Linked DNA regions of Lytechinus pictus. The main gene of each other region encodes a partner of the protein of the gene in region 3 in a complex. Links are inferred from orthologs where the notes say so. Each region holds a gene or a part of one and is shown on either strand. Other genes may lie near its edges. The genes, in order: glucose-induced degradation protein 4 homolog, glucose-induced degradation protein 8 homolog and armadillo repeat-containing protein 8-like.

Region 1 (7,515 bases), on a different chromosome or scaffold from region 3:
GCTCAGCCACCCCTGTAGTCGGGGACTAAACCGGATTTAAAAACAATACAGATATAGAAAAGATATGGAAATTATATATTTTGCTTTATTCCTTTGGCAAATATTGATGAGCTTCAGTGTGTCATTATTCACTGAAATATCAATAAATTTGAATTATTCCTGATAGATAGGCCTATAATTTATACGATACATATTATTTACTAACAGCCTGCCTAAATCACAACATAATAAAACGAAGAAGTTAAACTAAATCTAAGTACATACTTTCCACCTCATGAAGACATAATCTGTGTTTTTCAGGGCATCATAGTTGAAGTTGTCTTGATTGAAAGTCTTGGTGTATTGGTAAAATGATAAAAACTGACCCTGCAATTACAATATAAAAAACAGCAGATTGCAAAGAGAATAACTGTATACAGATCAACAATTAGCAAGGCTAGCTGTCATCAATACAAATTATTATGACATCTTTAAACAGGTACATAAAACCCCCAGAAAGTTACAGAAATGGAACATAGACCAATTCCATAACCTACATGTACTAAGAAATAGAAATCATATTCCATTTACTGTATACTACAAATCATATAAAAAGAAGGATCAATATTTGATAAAAGGTCAATGATAAAAATGCTAATTACCCCCCCCCCCTCCATTTTCATTTCATAAAGAAGAATAACACTCTTCTTGCCACATTATCTGTCTGAAAGATAAAATTTTCATTACTGACATTCAGTTTCCATAGGATGGCCTCTTTCACACTGGCCTTGGATATATATATTTTTTTGTGTCCTCATTATATTATTCACCCATTTGCATTGTAATACCAACAAATGCCCTTTTAAAAATGGGACTTGCCATAATATATGGAAATAGAAGAGTTTATTCTTACTAGGATATTTTAGTACATGTTCCATAGTTTAAAAAAAAAACATAAAGTACATTTCTACTCAGCACTAAGGCAAATGACTGTCTAGGCAAACAGAGTGTTTGAATAGGAAGCAGAGCAAGACCTTCTTTGGGCTCAAACTTTCAAGATATGAGGTGATATCTATCAATTCGTAGATTATTTTGAACCATGTCCTGCTTTTTGTATTTTTCATCTTATAGGGTACTTATAGGAGTTTTCCATCTAGGAATTTACCAAAGTGCTTGGAACTATGGAAGATAATACAGATCAGATAACCACATTTTTGTTCCTGGATTATTTAAGTGTGAAACTACATGTCTCATTTACCCAATGTTTCTTGTCAACTTCTTCATCTGCATCCCATTTTCTTGTAAGAAATGGATATTTCTCCCCTATGATCTCCCCTTCAAAGAAAGTTACTAGAACAGGAAACTCATCAGTCAGGCCTTTGATCTTCAAGTACCCACACAGGTAGCTGTTCTCTTCATCAACATGCTGTATCAGTGAGGAAATTGTCAAAGAATGAAGCTTGTTTAGAAAAGAAAATTGTTTTTCATTATATGAACTCAAACCAAATTAAGTTTCATGGCATTGATTTATTTACATAGCCTTTTTTCTCCACTCAGGAGGCCATTGCATTTTACATCCATGTGAATAGGTGGTATCAATCATGTTTCCTGGATTCAATTCAGCACATGGGTTAAATCACTTGCTGCACCACTTAAGCTACACATCTGAACATTAAAAAAAACCCTGATACATATGAAAAAAGAATTGGTGTGCAGGCATGGGGCACCGTTGGTTTTATTTTGGTTTTGATTTTTTGGGGGATGGTTTTTTTTTTTTTTAATTTACGGGTAATTTTTTTCATAAGAAATTCATATATTTTGCTCAAATTCAGATGGAAACTTTGTGGAATTACAAAGAAATTCATGTATAATAATAATCTAAAGATCCATTTTAGGAATGCAGATTAAGGATCTACAAACACAACATAAGAGTCGGCAATGTCACTCACTGACTCACTATTTATTTGTATTTTTACTATTCTTTATGAAACATAGAATATTTCAATAGTTGCAAATATGACATTCAACTTAAAGGCAATTTGAAATTTTCAGGGAAAATCAAACCATGTTTCACATTATGAGGGATTAATTTGATAATTCATGTAACAAACCTTTTTTAATAGTCAAATAAATAAATTAAATACAAAATAAATATAAGTGGGTGACACCACCAAAACCCTTGTTTACATACTGACCAGCATTTTGGCTTTTTGCATAAATTGTTCTTTGAAATAATGCTAACTTTTTAATAAAACTTTGTAACTTTCTTCTTTTAGTTTTATCAGAATTTGATGATTTTTAGCACGAGGAATAACAAGAGTCTAGCCTCTAACATTACTTTCTTAGAAAAAAAATAATTGTTATTTCTATAGTTAACGTTAGATCTCTAGACTAGAGTCTAACATTTGACTATGCCTGGGCCCTGGCTCAATTAGACCTAGGCCCTATTTCAATATTCATTTCATTCAATTTCCAATCAAGTTTTCTGGGGTGGACTTGTCCTTTGAAAATTATTTAAATAATAAAACTATGTTTGTCACTTTGTGTAATTGATCTCAATCTCAGTGCCAGTATGATAGGGCCTTTAATTCAGATATCATGATATTTTGAAAATGTGCACAAATTAAGGTTTCCCCATCACATGCACACAATTCACAGGCACCGGCATTATGCTAGCCACCGTATCCTTCTTTCACGCTACGCCGGGGTCTCTGGGGCAGGGACAAGTCCTCTTCCCGGTATTTCCCCAAGCTCAGCAGATCTACTCACTTGCAACTCGACTTCCACGTCGTAACGATTGCCTTTGCTCTTCTGATGCCCTTGAAACCTTGAACCACTATAAAGCAAAGATCGAGCAACTCCTGGCTGGCAACAGTTTTGGGGCGGTGGAGGATAAACGTCGACAACACCAGGCATTTTCATTGAATTTAGGAACGTTAAATTAAAGTGAACGACGGCTCACATACGATCCAGTCGCATATGGGACTCGTGTACAATCGTCCTAAAATATCTCGCGCCGCGCCCGCACGCGCACGCCGTGTTATCGACCCATCCAGTTAACGTTATTGAGACGTCAACGTTTTATGGAAATCGGAGGGGGGGGGTGGGCGGGGGCACTCTACTATAAACGATGATATGACATTTGCTCTTGCGACAATAATTGCTCTGGGCTTATTTTCGTCCAAGTTGTACTAGGTTGGCCCGTAGTAGGGTTATGTTTAGGAGAAAAGAGGGAGAAAGGAAGAGAAACGTACTTGGGAAAGAAGAAAATATTATTCATTATAATGTTATATTTGGTATATTATAATTATGTTATGTTACATTACATAAGAAACGTTTTCATCATAACTTTATGAAACATAATTTGCTCAGGGCCTATGTCTTCATTGTTCCTGGTGCTCGCATTTTCTGTTTAACGAGATATATAATCATGTAAAACCTCCCGTTTTCACTAAGTCAATATAAACCAAATATATTTCCTAGCACTTCCAGTTATCATTGTTTATGTAGTGACATATGCTTCTTTTTCATGACTCAAAAAGTGGTTTCCCCATGTTAAGGTCTTCATATATTTTCCTGTCCGTGATTACGTTCGCATTGTGGATTGGTGAGATGAGATATGTCTGCTCTCCATGAATTCCTAAAATCAGTCCTTAAAGTGTCCCTTCTAATCAGCAAACTGATATATATATTTGCGCCATCTATTATAATCTATATCCGATGCGCATTGTTATTACCCCAGCGCTGTGTGCATTTTAAGGAATTAATCCTGCTGGGTATACCATCAGGGCCCTGGGAACGATTTTGAGTTGGGATGCTGAATGACATTTTAAATTGAAAAAATAAATACAAGCCAAAAAAAGGGTTTCCCCTCCAAATTGAAGGCCGTTTGGTCCCAGGAAATTCGATAAGCAAAAAAGGGTCGCAAAACTTTGGTTCAACGCAAAATTTTGGTAATTTTCCATACATTTCTCAAATTTTATACACACGTTTGCAAGGGGGTGCTGTCTATGAAAAATAATAACGCAGCACCCCCGGGGAAAATCTTGGGGGTGCTTCAGCACCCCCTGCAGCGCCCTCATCAGGGCCTTCCTGCACCCACCTCCCCTGGGTTGATCGAGTGCATGCAGCACAATATTGCTGAAATTAGAAAAGATACTTATCGCACAGAAAACGGCAATTCGCTAGTTATCGTGCTCATACTAATGTTTTGTTTCACAGTAATATTGAAGATAGAGGATATCTATCTTTTGCAGCTATAGATTCAGTCATATATGATTTTGAAAATGGTACTCTTCCAAATGAATTGGCTCAACTATCCATTAAAAACGGTCAAATTCATAATCATAACACAAGGACAAGCAGCTGCTCTTCATATACCAAGGGTAAGAATTGCAGTCAGCTCTGAATACATTATCCGTTACACTCATTCTGTCATTGTGTGTCGGTCTTTAAACATAATTATAAGCTGAAATTCCATTTGCTGAAAGGTTATGCTGAAATTCTTTAAAATACGGTGTAAATAGATTATTTATTATAGTCCTTTGATTTTTGTTGTACACCTCTTTTTTCCTCTCCTCTTTTGGCGTTTATCTTATCAACTTCTTACACCTCCCCTATATAACTCTCTCTCTCTCTCGATCTCTCTTTGTCGTCTCAACGACTTTTCTCCCTATTAGGGTGCGTTTATCCGCCACTTTTTTACCCTATAATCATGATTCCAATCATGATTCAAATCACGATTCTGCAGAATCACGATTGCGTTTAGTCGAAATTGAATATAATCATGATTAGAATCACAAACATGAACTACGAAAAAAAGGGCGTTTGGAAAGACGTTTCTGCAGAATCACGTACGAAAATGTTCGGATAAACGATATCGTGATTTGAATCATGATTATATGACGTCATTGTGTCGAGCTATTTCCGGTTCTTGCCAAGGCGCGCGCCCCACGTTGTCACATCACATGTACGTCGCCGACCTCCAATTAAGTGTCCAACGTTGACCTATACTTCCTGGGTCAAACTGCGCACTGTGATGCGCACTGGATCGGTCCGAATCCGAGGAGAAACAGCGTTGGAACGAAGGTCGTCTAAACCCTGATTCTGTAGTAATTGTGATTCATGTTTGTGATTTGAATCATGATTCCAATCATGATTCAAATCACGATTCTGGCTTGAGGTCGGATAAACGCAGCCTTATATAAACCCTTTCTCCTGATTTCATAACCCCTCTCTTATCTTTCCTTATGTCTTTTTCATTCTGTATATAAATTCATATATATACTCATTCCTTCTTTTGATAATTTCTCTCTGTATTTCCTTCTTTTCTTTTCTTTCCATATGTAGATTTAGATGTGTAGTCTTATTCAAAGTAAATATTTCCATTGTACTATTCACTTACTGCTTAACCACTTGTTTTAGGTATTCATTGTTTGTTCCTATATTATTATCTGTGATTTGTTTTTCTCCTTTTCGATTGTTTATACTTTATTTGTTCTTTGTTAATTCCAGTATTACCTTTGTATGTTTGTCTTGATGTATATTACATGTATGTTATTTGATGATATGGACCTCTGCATATGCAGCTGTGTCTGGATTAAAGTCTTGAATTGAATTGAATATATTAAATATCTATAGTATTGGAGACCTTGTCTTGACAAGCCTACGGTAGAAAGGCTTTGTAACTTTTGTCTCCAGAATCCTACTCTGTAATGTAAATTATATGAGTTATGTAACAACCTCAATGTATGTTTAGCGCTGACAATCTATTTCTTTTAACTTGCTTTTTATTTTATTATCGTGTTTTTTTTAACTACCATAATTATGTATGAATGTTTTTGTGAAAGGAAGAAATAGGAAAACACGACACGCAATGCTGGCCATCGAACCCACGTCCCACCGATTGAGAGACGAGAGTTGCAACCACTCGAACACGTCGTGGCCCCACACTCCCCCTATTATTCCCTAAGTAGGGTAATCGAATGGGATTTTATTTCTGCCCTGGCTCCCCCCCCCCCCCCCTCCCGGCCCCAAGCGAAGTTCAAGTCACTGAACGATGAATTCAAGTTTGGCTGGTTGGTTTTATTTTGGCCGAATTCGATTCCGACGTTGAAAATAGCGAATAGTTTTAACTATAAATATTACGGCTGAGGTTGCCTATCTTGAATAAGTATCAGTTGTAAATGCTTACATGAATATAATTTAGGCTCATTTTTTATTTAAGAAAATATTTAAATTATTCTTCAATATTAATGTACAAATATTAACATCAATGTCATTTTTCAAGTAAAATTTATTTTATTAAAGTGATTATATTTTTATTTCAACATGCATCATTAAATCAGTAATATCAAATTTCCTGAAATTATAGTCAGTTATTTCAGTACATCATCTCGTCGATCGATCGTACGTACGTACATAGCTATGCACGCAGAAATTACGGTACACGCGCGAGGGTACGGTATGTTGACATTTCTGACAAGGCATAACTCAGTTCGGAGTGAAAGATCTTACGAGAATGGCTTCAGGGTCGACAGATTTACGTTTCAAGCTCGACTCTCATCATCGTCGGAGTCACCACAAGCAGAATCGTCGACTGCCAAGCAGCGATGACTCCGATTTTACATTTACATCGCGGCGAAAGAGACGACGACGTGACCGCTACCATCAGTGGCAGTCGAAATCATTCGAAGATGAAATGGAGGAAGTGAAGAAGATTCACTCCGGTGTGTCTCAGATTCAACTTTTCACTGAAGAAGAATGCAGCGAGATCGAGGATAAAATCAACGAGGTCGTGGACATCGCCGCAAAGGGACTCTACCGAGATCATACAGTCGATCGAGCTCCCCTTCGCAACAAGTACTTTTTTGGAGAGGGCTACACTTACGGCTCGCAGCTGACCAAGAAGGGACCGGGACAGGAACGACTGTACCCGCGAGGTGAAGTGGATGACATACCGCAGTGGGTCGAGGAGCTTGTCATCAGCAGGGTTGTTGAAGCAGGATTGATTCCTCATGGTGCGCATGCTTAGATTTTGTTTGAAATTTGATAATGAACATGTTGACAGGTATCATGATCATGATGATAAAAAATGAATTTCTTTAAAGTTTAATAATGGCAAAAAATTAAATAAAAAAATAAATTAAAAGGCCGTAGGGCCTGCCCTAGTCGATACCGGTACTGCTGCACACAATAAATAAGTCAATTGTCAACTTTTTAAGCCAAGAATCTTAGACTTAGACCTCTAGTTTTTTTATACCAACTTTGCTGCATCTACAATTCTGCATAGTCTGTTGCTGGATGGAAATAGAATTAATTATAGACAAATCAGTCTGAACACTCCTGCAATATCTAAAATCAGGAAATAATGTTTTTTGGCTAATCAGAACTGCAATGCATCATGGGATCGAAAAGGGGGCCGTTAGCTAGCTCTGTGCACGCGGACTGTCCGTAGTGCACAGAGCTAGCTTGATTGCCCCCTTTTCGATCCCATAACGCATTGCGGTTCTGATTAGCAATAAACCTTATAACGAT
Region 2 (7,976 bases), on a different chromosome or scaffold from region 3:
GGCAATTTGTATCATTCTTTTATTACAAGGAAAGCAGTGCAAGCTATTGAAAGCTCATCGAAATATATCCTAAAGCAGTTCAAAAAACTCAATTTTACGCGAAAAATCTCTATGTAAACAAAGTCGGCGAAAGCTATAACACGAAAGCTAGATTCGTAAACAATGCAATACACGCGTCGCTACTGTATGTGTGTGCACACAATTACAATTAAATGCGTTCCGTATGCATTGTGTGCGAACTGTGACTTGAGTCGTCGTTGGCAGTCCGCTGTATGTGCCACGAGTCGTCCGTGGCGGGCAAAGAGTTAAAAGATCCAAATAAATCAAGTACACATCCGACTTTATGCACTGTTGCCATAATTGTACGAGATAGCCACACCAGGCATTTGTACATCAACCAGCCAGATCCAGGATAATTAAAGCCTATTTTGGGCCACTAGCCTATGCTACAGTAATGAGTGTACAGTGAGGCATGATAGAACTTCAATTAGAAGTTCTAATTTTTGTGAATACAATCTTATTTGTTTTGCTACTTTCTCAGAAGTTTATATAGATCTTTTCAGAAGTTTAAATAGATCTAGGGAAAACCTGTAACTTTTAAGTACTTTTTCTTCTGTTACTTTTGTTTTAGGACTTGAACTTTGAAGATTTATTTTATGACAAATTAAGAGCTTTCTGAATTTTGTGGTCTAGATTCTAACTTAAGAACGTTACCGTAGACATATGGCAAGTAAAAGTTCCCCTAAGACAAGTCTGCGCAGTCTCCCTTGTCTGTGCACACGCGTTTCTCCGTGAAGAAGATACGCAATGAACACAAACTTTACACATGGCATGCAATACACACTCATCCCACTTGTTCACTGCAACCACCCTGCCTGTGGGGAATCTACAGGTTGGACTATGGCATGCCAATTACTTCTTGTGAAGGCCTCAAAATGCAGCCTTTTTCATAAAAATCCCTGAATCGCGTGCAAAGTGAATGGGTGCGCATAGCCTGGAGGCGTCTGGGGAGTGAAAGTAATATACTCTACGTATGGTCACTTCCCGAACGCCTGGCGTTTGTACATATAGGCTCCCACACACCGAAGAAAAATGCAACTATAAAAATGCGCCAAACTGCTAGTTATGTTTAGAATCTGAAGTTAAAACTTCTGTAAATGGGTAAAAATATTGGTTGGCAACGTTTGGCAAAAAATGGATAGTTATGGTTACAAAATGACGCCAAAATGACATGAAGTAATAAAAGTAGAAGAGAGTTTACTTACACTTGTTGACATCGCCATCTTTGATCCTTTGTTAATGCAACCTAGTTACGTGACGCGTATAGAGGGCGGCAAAATCATGAGCGGTGCTAGATTAAAAAGTGCTAAAATGTCCCGCTTCAACCACTGAACTAGAAATACGTGGAAGTCATGTTCACCCAAGCAAAACATCGCCGGCGAACTCGATAAGTCACGTGACCGCCGCCATTTTGCTAGGTCAATTGTTCGAGAACGCGCCGTAAAAGGCAATTGAAAGATATGTTTTCTCTATGTATTTCTAGTTCAGTGGTTGAAGCGGGACATTTTAGCACTTTTTAATCTAGCACCGCTCATGATTTTGCCGCCCTCTATACGCGTCACGTAACTAGGTTGCATTAACAAAGGATCAAAGATGGCGATGTCAACAAGTGTAAGTAAACTCTCTTCTACTTTTATTACTTTATGTCATTTTGTAACCATAACTATCCATTTTTTGCCAAACGTTGCCAACCAATATTTTTACCCATTTACAAAAGTTTTAACTTCAGATTCTAAACATAACTAGCAGTTTGGCGCATTTTTATAGTTGCATTTTTCTTCGGTGTGTAGGAGCCTATATGTACAAACGCCAGGCGTTCGGGGAGTGACCATACGTAGTCGTAGAGTATATTACCGTATGGGTACTAGTATTCAACCCGGCATAATTCAAAGATTTTGACATATTCCCCAAAATATTTAGAAATAGGGAATTTATCTTAATTTCATACCTTTGTTATTTCCAGGGTAATCTGTTGTCGATATTTTCTTTGTCAATCTGTCGACTGTATGCGCGGAGGATCGAATTATGCGGCGATGGCCTTTTGCACTGAATGGTACTAGTATTCAACCTAGTGAGGATTGATAGCAAATCTCAAAAGGGTTTAGATTGCTAAATTAGATCTAGATCTATGTAAGTCTCTGGCTTTGATTAATTCCCTGTTTGGTCTCATCTCAAATGGTCTAGTCCATAGTCGGATGGGACAAGAGCAGATTGAGAGACAGGGCCATCTTTCATCGCTAGGTTGAATACTAGTGCCGACGGGTTGAATACTAGTACCAAAATCCGTCGCCGTATAATTCGATCGCCCGCGCACACAGTCAACTTGTTGAAGAAAAAAATAACGGAAAAAGAATAACCAGCATTTGCTCTTGGAAATAAGACGGGTCTGAAATTCAGGTAAATTCTATATTTCTATAAATTTGAGGAAACTCTCCAAACGGGTTGAATACTAGTGCCCTTACGGTACTTTCACTCCCCAGACGCCTCCAGGCTAGGTGCGCAGACATGGGGCACCTTTTTTTGTTCAATCTGAAACTAAAGTAAAGTGAAAATGGTGGCCTGAGCTGAGGTTTTTTCCAAGTAAATCATATATTTCTTTCAAATTTTTATAAGATATTTGGCACACTAACTCTAATTGATGTAAGGAACATTATCTACTGAAATGTTTTGTGAAATAAAAAGAAATTCATGTTAAATCTTAACTCAAATCGTTAGGTTTCCCAGGCTTGGGGACCACTATCATAGTTCATACATCAAAATTTCATCCGTATGGGACTGAACAGACATAGCCTTGGCTTAATTCTGAGATTAGTGAGTGAGAATCGCAGGTATACTGTGAAAATCAGTCAAATAATGTGTTCTATACATACCATGATTTCGCAGTTGAAGTATATATTTGGCTTCCGAATATTTTCTACCTCTGCTTTATTAAAATATGTAATTTAGAAATCTCGGCAGTTTATTTTGATGCTTGCCTTTGTGCGAAACGTCTTTGATTGACGTTCTCTTTCAGCTGATGATTATCGATCACCGGCACCAAGTACCATGTACCAGCTGCAGCTGCGCTGCGCTGGCGAACTGCACAATTTTTATCTGAATAACGCACCCCCCCCCCCCCGGCCCCCGGCCCGCGCCCCATGCATAGGCGGCGGAAGCGGGGGGGGGGACGGGGGGACCTGTCCCCCCTAAATTTGAGGTGGGGGACGCTCCCCCCCCCTAAATTAATATTTGATAACCTTTTTTTTTTTTTTTTTTTTTTTGCTTGTCAATTTTGTTTCCTGCGTGGTCCCCCCTAAAATTTTGGTTGATAACCTTTTTTTTTGCTTGTCAAAAAATTTGGGTGGTCCCCCTCTAAATTGTTTGGCTTCCGCCGCCAATGGCCCCATGCATGGATGCCTGTGCGCGGCCGGCGGTGCGGCTCAAAGATGGGAAGAAAAAGAAAAAAGAAGAAATGAGGAGGGGGGGGGGAAGGCGAAAGTGAAAAGGAGGAAGAAAATGGAGTAAAATAAGGGGGTAAGAAATGGAAAAAATAGGAAAAATTTCTGCTCGCGCTTTGAGGTTTCATGAATTTTATGAGATTACTGTTCATATTGTAAAAATCTGTCATAAAATTTGATTTCTGTAATAAAAATGTCAATTTTTTGCTTGCTCGCTTTGCTCGCTCGAACATTAAAAAAAAAATCTGCCCGATATATATATATATATATATATATAGTGTGAAAGAAATGGATGAGGAGAACAATGGTAGACGTAGCTTAAATCAAGGTTCCCCAGAGCTGGCCTTTGGAAAAATTGGTGATGACGAAAAAATGTCTCTGCCGGGAATCGAACCCGGGTCCCAGATAGCTCTGGGGAACCTTGAGATAAGCTACGTCTACCATTGCTCTCCTCATCCATTTCTTTTACACAATATTTAAATAAAAGAGTTGCCAAAGTTGTTGTACATATAAACCTCACACATTTATATATACATCCGATATACATGTTTATAGTATACAGTGCATCCCAGAAAAAACGAAAGCGAGATTTATCGATGATTTATCATAACTTAATCACAAATAAATTAGACAAATGGTCTACCATTGTAAAGCTTAGAATCTCCTCTTTCATCTGAAATTACTTGGATTATTTCTCATTCACGCATGAGTGAGCAAAAACAAATTGAAGAGAGGATACCAAAAAGTAACTTGGCGGGCTGTTTCTAGGTTTCAAAAAGTAAATCACATCTTTAAAAAGTTCAATATCTGCTCTTTAATTTAATACCTCAATTACAGAAAATGGTCAAGAAATAACAAAGTTCTGGATATTTGAATTTCAACAATTTCATAATTTGACTTACAGGCTATAGCGTCCAGACTCTTGTTGACGATCAGCCTTTTGTTAACCGTGAGATAGCTTCTGTAGGAAACCGGTGAAAACATGTTTATTTAAATAAAATTATGGAAATACAGGTCAAGTCCACCCCAGGAAAATGCTGACTTAAAAAAATAGAGAAAAATCCAACTAGCATAGTGCTGAAAATTTCATCAAAATCGGATGTAAGATAAGAAAGTTATGACATTACAAAGTTTCGCTTATTTTTCACAAAACAGTGATATGCACAACTAGGTGAGTCAGTCGATGATGTCCATCACTCACTATTTCTTTTGTTTTTTTATTGTTTGAATTATACAATATTTCATTTTTTTGAGATTTGACAATAAGGACCAACTTGACTGAAACATTTAGTATTAAACAATGCTAATATGCCACATGTTCAAAGAATTAATCGTTGTATCACTTGCCAATGAGGAGAAAATTAGAATATTTCATATTTGACATAATGAAATACAAAAGAAATAGTGAGTGGATGACGTCATAGTCTCCTCATATAACTGTTTTGTGAAATTCAGCGAAACTTTCAAATGTCATAACTTCCTTATTTTACATCCGATTTTGATTAAATTTTCAGTGTTATGCTTGTTGGATTTTTCTCTTTTTATTCAAATCAACTTTTTATTGGGGTGGACTTGTCCTTTAAATAAAAGAGCAGATATTGAACTTTTAGGCATGTGATTTTCTTTTTGAAATTCAGATACCCCCGCCAAATGAGTTTTTGGTATCCTTTCTTCAAGTTGTTTTTGCTCACTCATGTGTGCATGGGTGTCGATCACGGGGGGGGGTGGGGGATATATCCCCCCCAATATTTCAAGTGGGGGGGGGTGGCCTGTATTATCATCCCCCCCAATAATTTAGGGTAGAAAAATTATAATAATGATGATGAAAAAATGAAAAGTTTGATCATGATGATTATAGTGATGATTATAGTATGCCATCAATCAGTTTGTTTCTCTCACAATTTGTGTATATTGTTATTAAATAAAAACATTCTTTTTCAGGACTATTAAACAGATGGGTGGAGGTTCAAGATGAAAAAGAATGAAATGTTTATGTATATGAAATTTTTTAACACATAACATAAAAGGACCCCAACGAAAAAAGACTTTTGGTGTTCCATCCCACCAATGGTGAATAAATTAATTTTAATACATTAATTAATTCAAAAGGGTGGAACAATAAACGGGAGTAAAAGGGTGGCAAGATAAATCGTCTAAGGAATGACCATATAGATATTACAGTAATAGCTCTATGGAATGACGGTAAGCCCGATGGCGCACGAGAAGCCACACAGTTTGTAATTTGTGCTAGTCTTAATTGGTCCGAATCTGCATGTTATCATCATGCATTAAGAAAAAAGATATTGCCAGTCGGGTTAGATTTAAGAGAGAAGTTGTATACACAAAGGCGTCGATCGGGGGGGGGGGCAGGGGGGGGCGATCGCCCCGCCAATGAAAATATTTGGGGGAACATATCGTTTTGCCCCCCCTCCCAATAATTCCGCATGTGCAACTAAAAATAAAATAAGATTGTAATGCTACACTGAAACCAGCAAGCGAGATTGAGATACCAACTCGATTTTGATTTAAAATCGTGCTCAAAATGTCTGCTTTTCAGATTGGAATATAAAAAATTTCAGCTCGCGCTTCGCGCTCGCATCATTTCTGTACCAAAACCCCATACTTTTCATGATTAAATAGGTGAATAGAATGTCCCTTTTTCAGTTCTATACCTCAAAAGAACACCCGCTTCGATTTGCAATAATCTTTTGTTGGATATATATCTTGTTCTTTATTAAAAGCGTCCATTAAACTGTCTTTTTTCCAGATCGAAATATCAACATTTTCAGCTGGCGCTTTGCGCTCGCATCTATTGTTCTTCTAGATACCCATCTTAATAATTGGTACCAAAAATGCTTAGAATATCAAGCTTTCACGTCAGAAATAAAGAAATTTGAGCTCGCTCTCTAGTGAGATACATGTATCTATGCTCCTCATGAGTTACTACAAACAAACCTAAACAGGTACATTTTTCCTGTTTTCATGTCATACTAAAAAATTTCAGCTCGCGCTTCGCGTCGCATGTTGAATGTTGATTCATGATTTTGCCCCCCCCCCCCATCTGAAAAATGGATCGACGCCCCTGTGTATACATCATGCTCAATAAACTATGAACATGGTCCAGACAATTTGTCATTTTTTCTTTCGTATGAGTTTAGAATAGGCTTACTTGTAACACAAATTGAATTTTCAAAAAATAAATATAAGTACACTATAACAATGAAGGAATTTACAAGAACACCATGCATATCAATCACTCCCAAATGTCCTAACTTGTGATTTTAGTGGGGTAATGTTGAAAGATCTCCATCCACAAGAACTTTTGTGTCAATCATCCCCCCCAACCAAGAATACCGATCGACACCCATGCATGTGTGAATGAGGAATAATCTAAGTAATTTCAGGTAAAAGAGGAGATTCTAAGCTTTACATTGGTAGGCCATTTGTCTATTGTATTTATGATTAAGTTATGATAAATCATCGCTAAATCTCGGTTTCGTTTTTTGTGGGACGCACTGTATATATATATATATATATATATATGTATATATATATATATATATATATGTATATATATATATATATATATATATATATATATATATATATATATATATATATATATATATATATATATATATATATATATATATATATATATATATATATATATATATATATATATATATAGGACTACAGTCAGTCTGCAAGCCCCTCTGTTAATGAGCAAATGAGCAAGATTTATCCAAGTCCTCTCGTGGTTGAATTCATGTCCCTGCAAAATCTCGTGAATTGTGAGACTTTGTTCCTCAAAGAGTTTAACCACTTTTTCTTTGAGTAAAATTGATTATTTTTGTACCATATGAAAGAGTAAACGTTACTCTTTTATACTGATCATTTCTTTTGAATAAAATATTTTGATAAATAAGTGAGTTTTAGGCATGAATAGATGCCTCAAACGGATTTGTTTTCCTCTCTTTTCTCTTGCAAATTGTGCAAAATTTTGTGTTTTAGGCACAAACATTATTTATATCTCTATAAAAACTCTTTACTTTCTTACTATGTGACTCTTGATAGGTGGCACCTTAATTTTAGATGTGTCAGCAGCCATCAGCTTTTTCCAACAAAATGCAACTAGACGAGATTTCTGAAATTTCTGAGTAGCATAAAATCCACGCAGAGTTCTGATTCGGGTTGAATAATGTTTTCAAAACAACAGGCGCGGGTAATTTGAAGAGATTACCATATGGTGAGTGTGACCTTGCTGAGGCCCAGTGCGGGAACATTGGAATTTGCGTGGGTGTGTGGTCTCTATGACCAATAAGAGCGCAGTATTCTGGTTTTTAAACTGCTAAATGTACTTGGCCTATGAAAAGCTGCATGGCTGCTGACCCATCTAAGATACCTCTTCTTATAAAAATTATATCATATTAAAGCTTAGATCTTCAGCTTTATCATAATCTAAAAATTATTTGAGCC
Region 3 (7,579 bases):
TTGCGTCCACCGCCCGCATGCTCCAAAACCTCCCGCATGAAAATGTCATTATTTATTTACTCTCCATCACCACGTATAAATATTAATGCGCTGCCGACTTCGAAACATCGAATGCGGGAGGTACCGGGTCTGGTCCGAGCTCGGACCCTCGCGCGCATGCGATGTTCTGAAATCGGCAGCGAATTATTACGTGTGAGGAACTTCATGTTGGCTCTAAATCATCAATTTTGAGACTGATAGAAGCATGGAAAAGATTAGACAGGAATAACCGTCGTTTCTGGGGATTTATTCAACAATTTCTGACATTTTACTGTAATCCCCATTTACCGACGGTAGGGTGTACGTGTGGGCTCGCATGTGTTCTCATTCCCTCCCTTTTGTCAATTCACAGTCCAAAGTTTGATGTAATTTTACACATCGAATTTACAATCTAAGGATGTATAAACAACAAACTTTTAAAACTTGATATTCCAATATTTAAATACTTTAAACGATATAGATGAAAAAGGCATGAAAATTATACTTTACCGATGTTTAATTGGGTTGAACACGATAAAAATGGTCAAAATGGCAGCCAAACTATAAAATATTTACAAACGAAACGTCAACAATCACGATTGTGATATCGATATTGCTTTCGATATTATACGATCTGCTCCATATGCGAACGAAACCGAAGATAAACGATACTAGTTATACTAGTACTAGTACTAGTCAGTAGAGGCGCATGGCCAATATGGAAGACTCTCTCCAATAGGGGAGACAATCTCCCACATTGGAGACTTGCTTTGCAAAAGGACAAAAGAAACAACACCAACAAAAGCATGATTTTTTCCACCCAAAATTTTGTCTCACTGAGGTCAGAAGCCCATTTGTTTTGTGTGTGATTGACAACAAAAATCCTTATCAAAACAAAAGTAGACGGTGAATTTTTAAAGTAGACGGTGAAAAGGGGTAATTTTTCATGAGGAATCTGCTTATCACATTTTTATTTGCCGCCAAGTTAATCCTTTTGCAGCAAATGTAAACAAAGGAAATTGGACCCCAAAACTGGAGACTGTCTCTGAAATTGGATACCTAAATTCTTTACAAAAGTCCCTGATATTGGAGATAATCTCCCACATTGGAGACAGTCTCCAATATTGGCCGTGCGCCTCTACTGCTAGTTATAATCGCGATATATCGATTCGAGACATTAAGTTAATACGATAATGACGTCATTCAAGGTGGCAACTTGCAAGAAAAACCGTCAGGTCAGGTGAAAATGTCTTAGATGACAGATTTCTCAATCATCCAGAGGATTTTTTTCAATAACTCCGGCCCAAGGTATGCAATTACTTAAGTTATTTATATTTCCCTGATAATGGAAACCATGAAACTTTCAATTTTGCTTAAAAAACAGTTTTAAATCGCGATCTATAAAACGCTAGTTCACTATGTATACGTTGGCTGTAGGTACGGGGCCCCATCCCCTTCAGTCTATGTATGGTGAGTGGAGCCAACTTAGTTCAGCGGAACAACCAAAATACAGAGACTGAAGCTTTTGGTCTAGGAAAAGATGTGAAACTTTGTGTAAAGTAAGAATATTAGTTGTACTTGTTTTTAAAGATCGTGATGTTGCATGAATTTTGTATTTTCTCCCCATAATTTATAAAATCCCACCTTTTGTCACTCGGAATATCCGATCGAGTTCATGGTCTCGAAGTTCGGGTAGGTGGAGTGTAGTGTAGTGGTAGTGAAGTGGAGTGGAGCCTGCACGAACTTCGCTCGAGGTAGGGAGAAACTAGACCAAAAGCTTCAGTCTCTGTATTTTGGTTGTTCCGCTGAACTACGTTGGCTCCACTCACCATACATAGACTGAAGGGGATGGGGCCCCGTACCTACAGCCAACGTATAGTGAACTAGCGTTTTATAGATCGCGATTTAAAACTGTTTTTTAAACAAAATTGAAAGTTTCATGGTTTCCATTATCAGGGAAAATAAATAAATTAAGTAATTGCATACCTTGGGCCAGAGTTATTGAAAAAAATCCTCTGGATGATTGAGAAATCTGTCATCTAAGACATTTTCACCTGACCTGACGGTTTTTCTTGCAAGTTGCCATCTTGAATGACGTCATTATCGTATTAACTTAATGTATCGAATCGATATATCGCGATTATAACTAGTACTAGTACTAGTATAACTAGTATCGTTTATCTTCGGTTTCGTTCGCAAATGGAGCAGATCGTATAATATCGAAAGCAATATCGATATCACATTCGTGATTGTTGACGTTCGTTTGTAAATATTTTATAGTTTGGCTGCCATTTTGACCATTTTTATCGTGTTCAACCCAATTAAACATCGGTAAAGTATATTTTTCATGCCTTTTTCATCTATATCGTTTAAAGTATTTAAATGTTAAAACATCCAGTTTTAAAAGTTTGTTGTTTATACATCCTTAGATTGTAAATTCGATGTGTAAAATTACATCAAACTTTGGACTGTGAATTGACAAAAGGGAGGGAATGAGAACACATGCGAGCCCACACGTACACCCTACCGTCGGTAAATGGGGATTACAGTAAAATGTCAGAAATTGTTGAATAAATCCCCAGAAACGACGGTTATTCCTGTCTAGGGAGAAACATGCTCAAAGTCGGCCGGTGCGAAACTGCATTAGCGCCCCTTTCTAATCCTGTCCCGGGTTCAACCGCAAGCGCCACGGGGGTCGCTTGGCCGGCTCGGCCCGGCTCAAGGGGCTGGCAGCACCAGGCAGAGGGTCATGCCCCCAAAAAAAGTCCGAAAGCGAAAGCAAGCGCCGAAATATATGTCATTAGTCTATCTTTGTTCGCATCAAATATATCGACACTTTGATTACATTATTTTTCATTGATGTCTTACTCACCATAGCTGCAATATTTCTTTTCAATTCAAAAGCCCAGCTCAACTGTAAAATAAACGATAAATGATAATTCAGAGTGTCGGAAAGTGTAACTGTAAGTTGTTAACGTTTGCAGCAAGATCGTGAAGCTAGCAGACTGAAAACTGGTACGGTACGTACGTACGTACCGGTATGGTATACGGTACGGTACCGTTTTAAAATATTATGGTAGGCCACCTCCCACCTCATCAAACCCTAAAATCAAGGAGCTTGAAGCTCCCTGCTAAAACATTCACTGGATTGTGGTGGTACATACAGATATATTCCAAGTCTATTTTGCTTTAATTTATTTTATTTTACTCTACTCTACTCTAGCTACTCTACTCTACTCTACTTTACTCTACGTCCCGGCCCGGGGGGCCACTTACATGCATTGACGAGTGGATACCATGCGCGACCAAAAAAACACGTAAAAAGGATGTCTTTTTCAAGATAGGGCACGTTACGTACAGGGGCGTAGACAACGGGGGGGATGAGGGGGATGCATCCCCCCCACATCACAAGGTGGGGGGGATGGCATGTACAATCATCCCCCCCAGGTTTTGGGGAATGATATTTGGTTACTTAATAAGTCATAATGATGATAATAATAGTAATAATAATAATGATAACAATTATAATATTAATAATAATAATAATTATGATGATGATAATAATAATCCTCATCATTATTGTAATTGTGTTTATTGTTATTAGCCGCATTCACACGGTGAAAGCCAATTCAGACGGTAAAAAAAAGAAAATCTTACAAGTATTTACTGGGCAGGAACGAAAAGAGGCGCAAGATATTTGGTTTCTAAGACACAAATTTGCAAGACTACAAAAGTAAAACTGACTAAGAGACCGATATGTTTGTTTGTTGAGCCATGAATGCTCCTTAAAGGAGAATGAAACCTTTGGAGCAAGTTAGCTTTTGTGAAAGCAAAAAAATCAAAGAATAAGATCAACAAAAGTTTGAGTAAAATAGGACTAGCAATAGAAGAGTTATGAGCATTTGAATGTCGAGATCACTTATGCTATGGAGATCCTTCCATTGGCAATGCGACCAAGATCTATGATGTCACAGATGAACAACTCTCCCCTTTTGGACACTGAAAATATACCCCAAAACATCTCTTTTTGCTCATTCTAATCATATATGACAAACGATTCATCAATGATATAATGTTGTGAAACCTCTATACTTTTCCTCTCATAAAGAGAACACCTCACCTTGTGATAGACTCTATAAAAGTGAGAATACAAGTGAAATAAGTACTAAAGTAATGAGGAAGTTGTACGTGTGTGACATCACAGATCTTGGTCGCATTGCCAATTGGAGGATCTAGATGGCATTAGTGATCTCAATATTCAAATGCTCATAAATTTCTTATTATTTATTCAATCTTCCTCAAACTTTCAACAATATGTTTCTTTGATTTTTCTCTTTGATATGGATTCAGTTGGTTTCAAGGGTTTCATTCTCCTTTAAGTAAGTTTACCAACTTACCGCATGTCTCTATTATCTGATTAGCAACTGTTAATCAAGCTGTTTTTGGTATGGGAATGAAGCAACAACTCTTTTCTTTTCATCGAGACTTTTCAGGCACGAACCGAGTACTAGCAATACCTTCTCATATATGATATGTATTATATTTATTTATGTATTTATTAGTTTATATCAGATTATATTACAGGTATATGATATTTATACATATATATATACATTATATGCATTTATTTATTTATTTATTTATATATTTATATACACGTTATTTTCTCAAGTCGGTTTTTATTGAAATACATGTGTGGTCTGGCCCACTCGTGTTATAGGCATTATACATTGTGTGCAAAATGCATCAGCGCAATCTAAAACAGAATAGAAAATGAATGTGATACAACAGTATACATAATAATTCGTGACAGAGAGTACCATACTACTATCTTTATAACAAGTATTATTCAAACAAATATATATAATTATGTATAATCATGAATTGTTCAACTTCATGCTCCCACTATATGACTATTGTTACACTAATACTGATATCAGGACTGACTGGTATATATTAGTTTGTTGTTAAGCTTGCAGCAGCTACATCTTTTCTGTATTGTTAACTATTTATTTATTTTTGTTTTATTTAAGATGCACTTTGTTTTGTATTCATCTAAAGTATGTTGATTGATGCATGAAGACATAAGTTTGAAATGTTTAAAGAAGTATGTTTCATGTAAAGCGCAGTGTGAATTTACCCTGTCTTGAAATGCGAGATAAAAGGAACCTATTAGTATTAGCATTATTATTTGTATTAGTATTATTTTTTATTTGTATTATTATTATTATTATTATTATTATTATTATTATTATTATTATTATTATTATTATTATTATTATTATTATTATTATTATTACTATTATAAGACTGAGATCAAATAGAAGTAAATAATGCCCTAATTTGAAACGATGCAATGCCGTTATGGTTCCGATTTCTTCACAAACTTACAGAGCAGTATTGTTACTCCATGGATCATAGTGATACTGTTTATGTTTTTTGTATCTGTATGTTAATGAGCCGCCAGCCAATATCCATCTATGGATACTATGCCTGTTTCTTTGAGGTAAAAAAAGCATAGTATGTACGTATTCATTATGCTTTATAATGAACAGACATATTGTTATTTGTTTGTTGTTTATGTGTTCTATTCACAAATGGCCACAGAGGCTGTTTTCATTCATAACCACATACCCATATCAACAAAGACTATACCTGCGTTTACACAGTTGACATTGTTTTTTTTTTCTGAAGAGGTGTAACAGCAAAATTCACAGAGATAAATAAATACGTAGTGTGGTTCAATATGCAATACTTTGTGTCAGTCCATTCTGTATTCGTATGCCACGGTGTGTAGATCTTGTCGATGTATGTCTGTCCATTCAAGGCGTAGTATGTGTGTGGTGCGCGCACCCGTGTGTGTGTGTGTGTGTGTGGGGGGGGGTGAGTATGTGTGTGTGTGCGTGCGCGCTTGTGTGTGTTATTTTACCTCATTAAGTATGCATCAGATTGCACGATTTCAAGTTCAAAATTGCAAAAGCTCCCTACCGTGGGAGGGGGGACACCCCCCTCCCACACCCTCCCCCCGCTCGGTCGCTTCGCTCCCTCGCTAGCGTTGGCAGCCCAGTCATCCCCCCCAGGTGTACGAACCTGTCTACGCCACTGGTTACGTACGTAACGTGATAAGGGTGTCAAAACACAAAAATAATGAAAAAAGGGTATCTATTTCGCTTGCGAAGCTACGGAGTTAGGGTCAAATTTGCGGGAATGATAAAACAAAATTAAAATGTTTTATAATTAAAGGATGTCCTTTTTGCCCCAACACGTGTAGAGTCCGATTCGCGCGAGGTGTGGACAGTGAGGCCGAAACTGTGTAAAGGTAAAACCGACGACCGACGGACCCGTGACATAACAATAAAATATCGCTGTACTTGTTTAGGGGTTCATTTCAGGGAACACTTGCCAAGAGTATCGTTTTGTTTCCAATTTAAGGGTATAGGGTTTGAGACGCCAATACTTGTTAAGAGGTGCATTTTCAGAATATGGAAAATACGTGTTTAGGGTGCTTTTCGAGACCCCATGGTCGCGCATGGTATCCATTCGTCAATGGAAGTGCCCCCCCCCCCGGGCTCTATACGCACTCTACTCAACTCTACTCTTCTCTACTCTACTCTACTACACTCTATACTCTACTCAACTCTACTCAACTCTACTCTTCTCTACTCTACTCTACACTACGTACGTACTCTACTCTTCTCCCGACTCGACTCTACTCTTCTCTTCTCTACTCTACTCTACTCTACTCTACTCTACTCGATCTACTCTACTCCGAGAGGCTCCCGAGTCTACTCTACATAACTCTACTCTACTCTTATTTCTACTCTACTCAACTCTACACTTCTCTTCTCTACTCTACTCTACTCTACTCTACTCTACTCTACTCTACTCTACTCCCGACTCTACTCTTCTCTTCTCTACTCTACTCTAGCTACTCTAGTATACTCTACTCTACTCTACTCAACTCTACTCTTCTCTACTCTACTCTACTCTATAATAGTACAGGTACATACTCTACTCAGGGACCTGGGAAGCGGGGGTGCTGGGGGTGCTGCGTGTATTATTTCCCATAGGCAGCACCCCCACGAAATCAGGTTCCCCCCTGTATTTTTTAAAATATGTTATAATGTACATAATTAGCACATCCGACACAATCGCAAATCATTTACATAATAGCATTTCACATATTCCAATAACATCCATCCTATAACGCGACTCAATCAAGCTCCGGCATTCCGATACAGACGTGGTCGCACGCTATATATACCATAGTTTACGCACTACTCGATAGCAGGGAGGGACATAATAAGGGTGTGGTTGGACTTGACACAATGACACTTCCAGGTTTTATGTCGAATCAAGTGTGCGCGTGCCCGACCGCCCATGTTTTGTATAAACTATTACAAGTCAGACAATAGAAATCAAATTTCACAGTCTTTTTCGCCCTGCCCCATGGCCCTGGGAAGCGGGGGTGCTGGGGGTGAAGCACCCCCAAAATTTGGGGGTGCTGCATGTGTTATTTTCCATAGGCAGCACCTCCTGGAAAGCTATAGTAGTAGGTATG

What was found.
Region 1: the proteins of armadillo repeat-containing protein 8-like (region 3) and glucose-induced degradation protein 4 homolog are in contact, whole or in part, in a cryo-EM structure (PDB 7NSC), measured with the Homo sapiens proteins. The link is inferred for Lytechinus pictus from reciprocal best matches to the Homo sapiens genes ARMC8 and GID4. Residues at the interface, in NP_001350870.1 of Homo sapiens: Glu309, Pro310, Asp311, Val312, Asn371, Glu373, Arg406, His409, Arg413, Ser414, Val415, Gln416, Arg419, Thr420, Gln423, Asp424, Val444, Ser448, Cys451, Asn452, Leu455, Phe457, Ala483, Val486, Asn487, Trp490, Met493, Asn494, Phe497, Gln498; in NP_076957.3 of Homo sapiens: Leu104, Ile105, Pro106, Pro107, Pro108, Pro109, Ile110, Gln114, Pro115, Gly116, Val117, Ala118, Thr119, Gly125, Gln146, His147, Tyr154, Cys156, Tyr158, Phe174, Glu176, Phe239, Val241, Pro242, His244, His292, Ser293, Ala294, Pro295, Ile296.
Region 2: the proteins of armadillo repeat-containing protein 8-like (region 3) and glucose-induced degradation protein 8 homolog are in contact, whole or in part, in a cryo-EM structure (PDB 7NSC), measured with the Homo sapiens proteins. The link is inferred for Lytechinus pictus from reciprocal best matches to the Homo sapiens genes ARMC8 and GID8. Residues at the interface, in NP_001350870.1 of Homo sapiens: Asn45, Val47, Ile48, Gly49, Asn50, Val85, Ser89, Met92, Arg127, Arg130, Arg161, Tyr162, Tyr166, Leu200, Ser201, Tyr202; in NP_060366.1 of Homo sapiens: Ile83, Ala84, Asn87, His90, Pro91, Glu92, Leu94, Asp95, Thr96, Tyr101, Tyr183, Glu184, Asn185.

Annotation. Positions count from the first base shown.
Region 1 is NC_087254.1:30,551,244-30,558,758, forward strand, and holds the start of glucose-induced degradation protein 4 homolog, read right to left. Parts: upstream 3,059-7,515; 5' UTR 2,902-3,058; coding exon 2,749-2,901; intron 1,406-2,748; coding exon 1,238-1,405; intron 367-1,237; coding exon 265-366; intron 1-264. Other genes in the region: RNA demethylase ALKBH5-like, read left to right, coding at 6,500-6,998.
Region 2 is NC_087246.1:44,406,098-44,414,073, forward strand, and holds the start of glucose-induced degradation protein 8 homolog, read right to left. Parts: upstream 3,093-7,976; 5' UTR 2,934-3,092; coding exon 2,931-2,933; intron 1-2,930. UniProt on the Homo sapiens protein: Core component of the CTLH E3 ubiquitin-protein ligase complex that selectively accepts ubiquitin from UBE2H and mediates ubiquitination and subsequent proteasomal degradation of the transcription factor HBP1.
Region 3 is NC_087245.1:23,728,772-23,736,350, reverse strand, and holds the start of armadillo repeat-containing protein 8-like, read right to left. Parts: upstream 3,033-7,579; 5' UTR 2,894-3,032; coding exon 2,891-2,893; intron 1-2,890. UniProt on the Homo sapiens protein: Component of the CTLH E3 ubiquitin-protein ligase complex that selectively accepts ubiquitin from UBE2H and mediates ubiquitination and subsequent proteasomal degradation of the transcription factor HBP1.